Canis lupus familiaris: one gene and its partner. The protein of the gene in region 1 purifies or fractionates together with the protein of each later gene. This does not show direct contact. Links are inferred from orthologs where the notes say so. Each region holds a gene or a part of one and is shown in the gene's direction. Other genes may lie near its edges.

Region 1 (3,587 bases):
ATCCCCCATTCAAGTTTTAAACATTTACATTTTCATTTTACAGGTATGTAGAATGTTTTTATCAAAGTCCTTTGTTAACTGTGACTGTCGTATCTGCTTTCTGTTTTTATCCATGTAATTAGGGAAAACAGGTGAGTAATTAGGGAAAACATACCTCAAAACTTTACAGATGGGCTTCAGTCTGTGACTTTTTTTTTAAATTTTTAAAAAATTATTTATTTATTTATTTATTTATTTATTTATTTATTTATTTATTTATTTATGATAGTCACACACACAGAGAGAGAGAGAGGCAGAGACATAGGCAGAGGGAGAAGCAGGCTCCATGCACCGGGAGCCCGACGTGGGATTTGATCCTGGGTCTCCAGGATCGCGCCCTGGGCCAAAGGCAGGCGCCAAACCGCTGTGCCACCCAGGGATCCCCAGTCTGTGACTTTTTGAGTTGTTTGTAAAAAATAATCTTCGGATTCCATTTAGTTGTACTTCTTTTTAGCTCATATTCACTTTATCCCCAAAGATAGGATATATCCTTGTCACAGATCATGTGTTGAGCATCCAGATAGACTGTGGCCACAGGATTGCATTGAATGGCCAGTTTAGTAAAACTGTCCAAGAAGGAAATAACTCTGGTGTCATAGGGCTATGTGAACACATGCTGAGCTACATTGATTACTGTTTTTTTCTAAATGTTGAGAAACCATCTCTGATTCTAGATCTATCCAAGATAGACACCAGACTTCTTCTAGTGTTTTAAAAAATATTTTATTTATTTTTGAGAGACACAGAGACAGAGACACAGGCCAAGGGAGAAGCAGGCTCTCTGCAGGGAGCCCCGTATGGAACTTGATCCCACGACTCCGACTCTGGGATCATGACCTGAGCCAAAAGCAGATGCTCAACCACTGAGCCACCCAGATGTCCCTCTTCCAACAGTTATTATCAAGCTTGGTTTCATGGTTTTTCTTACATTCTTCTCAGTCTCAGTATATCATTGGTTGTGTGCTGTTCTTTCCAATTCTATTTCTTATCTCTTGTAAGCCCAAGATTATTAGAAAACTTTGTAGTTTCCCACACCAATGTCTGTGAGCATCTCCCTTATATTAGAATACTATGAAATTATTTTGTTAGATTTACACTCTTGAGAGCTTCCTAGCTCTGAAACCATTCCTAAATTCTTCCTAAGTTTAAAAAAACAAAGTTCTACCTAAAAGAAAATAATTTAAAATTTCCATTTCCCAGTCCAGGTAAATGCTAGATCTAAACAGTGTTCTAAACTGTTTACCAAGTTATTGGTTTGTAGCTGCTTTTCAGAGTGATTATGGATCCTTCTAGACCTTTTAAGTCTTCACCTCTAAATCTGTAAAACAAGAACATATGCCCCCTATGACTTCATGTGTTTCATAAACAGAAACTTACACTGTAGTGTTCTTTTAACTTTCTGGAGGCTATATGCCCTATCAGTTCTGGAAAATTAGTGGGTTGTTTGTTTTTTAGGAATAATCTGTTTACATGTAAAGTATCACTAAAGTAGATGCATAGAATTGTATGGAGGAATGCAGTAGTGGTGGGCAGGGAAGAAGAAGCAGTATTTATTAAGAGTACACTATGTGCCGGGTCCTGTTTTGGAAGTGATCTAAGTAAGTTAGTAATTGAGAGCTCATTGGAATGATCATTTGGGGCATGTTTGAAAGGTGGTTTTTGGTTGAAATTACAGTGCAATTTAGATTTTTCTTTTTTTCCTCTCACAGGAACAGTGAGCAGAATGAGTACCTCACAGGACCAGAGTGGCCGCTCCAGTAATAGAGAACCCCTTTTGAGGTGTTGTGATGCACGGAGGGACTTGGAGCTTGCTATTGGTGGAGTTCTCCGGGCTGAACAGCAAATTAAAGATAACTTACAAGAGGTGTGATGTGCGCTTTTTTCTTCTCTTGTCTGGGTTTTTAGCACAGGGCTGGTTAGAGCATGGCTAAGGACTTTGCTTCTCTGTGCTAACCAGGTTACACCCCATGTCTTGTTTGGTATGCCTGAAATGTTGGTGCCTTTGATTCCCAAAGGAAATTAAACAGATGGTAGAAGAGTCTGGAAAACCTTGTGCCACCTCAAAGATTTCAGTTCAGCATGCATTTTTTAATTGCTCCTCTTTGTGGTCCCTGTGCCAAGCACTGCCATCAATAAAAAAATAACAAAATGAATGAGTATTCTGCTCAGCTGTGTCCTTGATGCATAAAGGATGGTGCTGCATCATGGCCTCTACCAGCTTTTAACTTCGTGGTGGCATGGCTTTGTTGGTGGCATGTAATGTAAATCACTTTATCTGTTGAATCAAGTCAAAATGAAATCTCTTTGTTCCCTTGGCCTAATATTCTGTTGGTGAGTGGGAAGACCAAGTATTACATGATTTTGAAATACAACTTTATTATAGAAAAATTTTGTTTTAAAATAGTTTCTCATGCGGATTCTCATGGATAATTATAGGTGTTTTGACTTCTCTCCTTTGGATTTTTAGTATATATGTTGCTGAAATGAGCACTCTCCTTTGGATTTTTTATTTTTGTTCTTTTTTGAATCACTACTTCTGCTTTCAGAAACATTTAGTTTACAGGTTTACTTAAACTCTGCCCCACCGGTCTTCTGGCTGTTGACATGTAGTGGCACATCTCTTTATTTAATTGGCCTAATATAACTGGCTTGCTCATTCATAGAGTGAGAAAAGAGACAAGGGCTAGCTAGCCATTAAGTTAATACTTCTATCTTACTCCACTGACAAATTTGTAAGACTATATATGTTTTCAAATTCTATGAAAAACTTAGGGGATCAGTATTACATATCCTTTTTATTTTTTTCTTGATTATTTCAGGCCACCCAAATAAACCCGCTCCTCTTTGGATGGATGGGGTATGGAAGGAGGATTTAGAGCTTTTGTGGCTGAAATTCTTAAACTGGGTCTGTGGGCCTTTGGTGGTTCCATGGGTGTGCTACCGGGACCTGCAACCCCGAAATTACAGGCAAAATTTTGAGTATATGATACGTATTTTTCTGGAGAGAGGTTCCATATATATGATTGGATAATCCAAAGGATTTGTGACCCTCAGAAGTTTAAGAAACTCACCATTCTTGGGCAGCCCGGGTGGCTCAGCGGTTTGGCGCCGCCTGCAGCCCAGGGTGTGTGATTCTGGAGACCCCGGATCGAGTCCCACGTCGGGCTCCCTGCATGGAGCCTGCTTCTCCCTCTGCCTATGTCTCTGCCTCTTTCTTTCTCTCTCTCCTTGTCTCTCATGAATAAATAAATAAAATCTTAAAAAAAAAAAAAAAAGAAAGAAAGAAACTCACCATTCTTTAGGCTTATAACAGTAGTGAAGCTAATAGGTATGTGTTTACTAGGTCAAAGCCCAGATTCACAGCTGCATAAGCCGTCATCTGGAATGCCTCCGAAGCCGTGAGGTGTGGCTGTATGAACAGGTAGATCTCATCTATCAGCTTAAAGAGGAGACACTTCAGCAGCAGGCCCAACAGCTCTACTGGGTAAGGTGGCTGTAAGGCTATAATTGGTTTGAGTATGGTTTTCCAGAGAATGTCTTTCCTATAA
Region 2 (4,179 bases), on another chromosome or scaffold:
CACTTGGAATTCTCTTCCACTCTACCTTCCTTCTAGCTTTTTCTTCAGACTTAGCTCAACTGTCACTTTCCTAGGGAAGCCTTCCCTGGCCTTCTATCCCAGACTGGATAAGGCACTCCTCGTCTACACTCTCCCACAGGCTTCTGCTTATTTTATTTTATTTTATTTTTGTAGTTTTAGACCTAAAAAAAATTTTTTTTTCCTGAAGGTAAAATGTTCATTCCGAAACGAAAACAGTAGAGACCCAAGAAAGAGATCACCAGAATTCCGTCAGCAACGAATTTTAACATTTTAGAGCCTGCCTTCTTTTTGTTGAGGTTGCGAAGTTCAGCTTAAGGTTTCATGTTTGTGAGCGTCCAAAGGGCCTCGGCGAGGTCTCCCAGCCGTGCGGAAGGACCTGGTGGCGAACAGTGGAGCTGGAAGCCGGCCGACAGGGCGGGCGCCTGGAAGGAAGGGACTCGGCGGCCCTGCCCTGCCCTGCCCGGTCCCGTGGACACTGTGCCCACCGGCCGCTCCGCAGGGGCAGCCCCAGGAGGTGGCTCCCCGGGAGATCTCCTCAGCTTGAGCCGGCTGTGGCCTGACCCGGGTGCGCCAAGGCAGCCGTTCCAAGATGGCTCCGTCTCCAGATCCCCAGTGGCTTCTCCTCCCTTTTCTAACCCGTCCCCGGATCTTCTCAGAAGCCCCGGGGGCTCGTCCCTCACGGCTCCCCCTCGAAGGCGCCCGCTCACCGCATCTCCCCGGGAACCACGGCCCGCCCAGCCTCTGTCGGGGAAGCTGCACCGGGAGCCATGTTGGCGAGGGTCGGGGACGGCCCCCGGGACCCCAGCCCGTCCGCGTGTCGCTCCCGGCCGGACCCTGAGGAAGGGAGAGCGAGCCCCTCCCGCCCCACCTCTAACTGACGCAACCTCCTAGGGCTCCCACTGCCACTTTCCAGGTGACGCCCGAGGAGATCCCCCCGGGTGTGGTAACTGCTGCCCCGCCGCCCGGACTTTTAACCTGCCCCCGGGGCAGGATGTCTCGGGGAGCCCGCCCGGACGGCTCAGGGGACACGTGCCGGCGGCTCCCAGCCCCGGGCGCCGGGGCTCCGCGCCCGACCCCGACCGCACTTCTTCCCCGCCCCCCCCCATCGCGGGAGCCGGGACGCCGAGGACACCCGCCCCGCCCCGCCCCGCGCGCGGCCACACGCCCGCCGCCTCAGCCCGCGCGGGGCCGCCCCTCCCCCACCGCCCCCAGGGCGGGGTCGCGCGCCCGCCGGAAGAGGCGGGGCTCCGCGCGCGGGCGGGCGTCTTGATTGGCTGGAGTGGGCGTGACGCCCGATCCCGCTATAAGAGCGGGGCCTCGGCGGTCTGCGCCAGTCTCCGCCGAGAGTCGCCGCGGCTTCCTGCTTCAACAGTGCTTGGACGGAACCCGGCGCTCGTCTCCCCTCCCCGGGCCCGCCGCTCAGAGCCAGCCCTCGGCCACCTCCACGCAGCGCTCTCGGACCGCCCCGAGGCCTCCGCCGCCGCCGCCCCAGCGCCGCGCAGCCGCCGCCGCCGCCGCCTCTCCTCAGCCTCCGCCATGACGACCGCGTCCCCCTCGCAGGTGCGCCAGAACTACCACCAGGACTCCGAGGCCGCCATCAACCGCCAGATCAACCTGGAGCTCTACGCGTCTTACGTCTACTTGTCCATGGTGAGCGCCGCTCGGCTCCGGGCTCCGGGCGGCGGGGCGGGGCGGGGGTGTGGCTGACGCTTGGGCCCTCCCGCCCCTGCTCGCCCTGCTGGAAAATGGACGCTGCTCGAGGCCTCTCAGGACGTGCGCAGAAACTCTGGCCGGCTCGGCCTTTCTGACGGCCCCCTGGGAGGGCTCCCTCTTAGTCAAGGGCCGCCTCTGCGCGCCGCTTCGTATTTAGAGAGAGCCTGGTTTCAAGGAATCCCCGACTTGCGGCAGCTGCAACCGGCACAATCCTGCAGTTAGGAAAGCGGGGTGTGCGTTTCCATCCTGTTCTCCGTGTCGATCACGTGGCCCCGAGGCTGTCCTTTTGCTTGGGTGACGGGGGCGAAGTGGTCCAGCCCCCGTCCTCCCTGCGACTGGCGGAGCCTGCTGGGTAATGGTGTCGAATAGCAACCGTTGGGGGCGGGGGTTGGTGCTCAGTGGCTTATCTCCCGGGGGCCGACCACTCTGGAGCAGCCATCGCTACCCGCTCTGTTCTGCTTATCGCCCAGTCCCACTTGAAGCAGGGAAATCTCCCCTTTTGCGCACACGGTTGTCTTAGTCATCCGTCCTCTTGCCCGGGCATTTAGTACTTTATCCTTTTGTGGCTGAACCCTTGGTTTTAGAATAAACTACACCAACAGTCACTGGGCAAGGAAACTTTCCGTGCTGATCGATGGAATCCATTTTCCAAAATCCTGGTTTTAGGCGGTGTGGTGGGCGTTTTCCTTAGGATTGCAAAAGAAAAAAAAAAAGAAAAAGGATTGCCTTACGATTGTGCAAATTATCTAAGAATAGACCTGTTCCAGATGAATTTGAAAATAGGCCTGGATTTCCGCGACTGCCATTCCATTTCAGGAACACCTGGATTCAGCGAGTGTCTAAAAACGGAATCAAGTTTTCTGTTTTCTGCTGGCAGTTTCTTTGTACAGCTTAGCGTTGCCAGCAGTTGTCACCTTGCCTAATGGGTTAATCTTAGAGATCCGTCAGTATGCTGTAAGCTGGCAAGCTCATGTTTTAACATGGGTTTAATCAGGGAGTTAGGGAGTACAGGGTAAATACTCCCACACCCTCTCCAATCAAATGCGACACTGGCCAGAAGAAGTTTGCTCTCATATAGGGCTTTAAGAATTTATCTGCTGGGGGCAATTCCCTATGATATTCTAAAGGTTCCTTGCAGTAAACTTTAAATGTCCAGGACTGCGTTTCATTTTTGTGTTTTAGAGTACAGACTAGTGTTGTGTTCTGTCCAAGAGCACAGCCTGTCCGCGGTCTTCAGTGCAGACTCCTTTCTTGCTGGACTTTGAGGAAGAAAGGCTAGGCTTGGCAATTCCTAACAGAACATGTTCGTGTTCTCTTTTCAGTCTTATTACTTTGATCGCGATGATGTGGCTTTGAAGAACTTTGCCAAATATTTTCTCCACCAATCTCATGAGGAGAGGGAACATGCTGAGAAACTGATGAAGCTGCAGAACCAACGAGGTGGTCGAATCTTCCTTCAGGATATTAAGGTGAACAAAACATCTTAGATCCTGTGTCTCATCTATCCGGCAAGTCCTTGGGTGTCAGAAATCCCTCAAGCTAGCAGTTGCTCTTATAAAATGAAGTACTTTTGGCTTCTGTGTTTTTTTAAGCCTATCTTCTAAGTTGAAGGAGGTGAACGGTAATGGGCACAAGGCTGTTAAGTTGGAAACCATTGTGGGAGAAACTGGGATGTCCCTCTTGCCAAAGCACAACGATTGCATGTTAGGTGTTTGCTGACTTGGGCAATAATAGGTAGAGGCTGTACGTGCATTGACCTGACCTCCTCTCCTCTCGTTCAGAAACCAGACCGTGACGATTGGGAGAATGGGCTGAATGCAATGGAGTGTGCATTACACTTGGAAAAGAGCGTGAATCAGTCACTACTGGAACTGCACAAACTGGCCACTGATAAAAATGACCCCCACGTGAGTGTTGGCAGTCTGGGAGAGAATGGAGGGAGTCATTTCCCTCTTTAGGGGTTGGGAAAGTGTACCGTTAACATTCTTCCCCATTCTGTCTTCTAGTTGTGTGACTTCATTGAGACTCATTACCTGAACGAGCAGGTGAAATCCATCAAAGAATTGGGTGACCATGTAACCAACCTGCGCAAGATGGGGGCTCCCGAATCTGGCATGGCAGAGTATCTCTTTGACAAGCACACCCTGGGAAACAGTGATAATGAGAGCTAAGCCTTAGGCTGTCTTCCCATAGCCGCAGGGTGACTTCCCTGGTCACCGAGGCAGTGCATGCATGTTGGGGTTACCTTTACCTTTTCTATAAGTTGTACCGAAACATCTACTTCTTTCGTTTGTATCATTCCTTCAAATAAAGTAATTTGGTACCCAGCTGTTGTTTCTTGAGTTCTTGGGATGGGCTAGAAATGTATTTAGTAGGTCATCTTTGTGAAATCTGCTGAGGTGTTGTAGTTCAGTCACAGTAACCAAAATGACATGCCTAGGGAGG

The links.
Region 2: the proteins of NCOA4 (region 1) and ferritin heavy chain purify together in Homo sapiens (co-immunoprecipitation; 6 studies listed by BioGRID and IntAct, counting the BioPlex papers as one, with this or other methods). This does not show direct contact. The link is inferred for Canis lupus familiaris from reciprocal best matches to the Homo sapiens genes NCOA4 and FTH1.

The regions. Positions count from the first base shown.
Region 1 is NC_049249.1:1,952,158-1,955,744, reverse strand, and holds part of NCOA4 (nuclear receptor coactivator 4), read left to right. Parts: intron 1-1,748; coding exon 1,749-1,903; intron 1,904-3,382; coding exon 3,383-3,523; intron 3,524-3,587. UniProt on the Homo sapiens protein: Cargo receptor for the autophagic turnover of the iron-binding ferritin complex, playing a central role in iron homeostasis. Acts as an adapter for delivery of ferritin to lysosomes and autophagic degradation of ferritin, a process named ferritinophagy.
Region 2 is NC_049239.1:55,066,955-55,071,133, forward strand, and holds ferritin heavy chain, read left to right. Parts: upstream 1-1,378; 5' UTR 1,379-1,557; coding exon 1,558-1,671; intron 1,672-3,056; coding exon 3,057-3,203; intron 3,204-3,515; coding exon 3,516-3,641; intron 3,642-3,740; coding exon 3,741-3,905; intron 3,906-3,906; 3' UTR 3,907-3,996; downstream 3,997-4,179. UniProt on the Homo sapiens protein: Stores iron in a soluble, non-toxic, readily available form. Important for iron homeostasis. Has ferroxidase activity. Iron is taken up in the ferrous form and deposited as ferric hydroxides after oxidation. Also plays a role in delivery of iron to cells.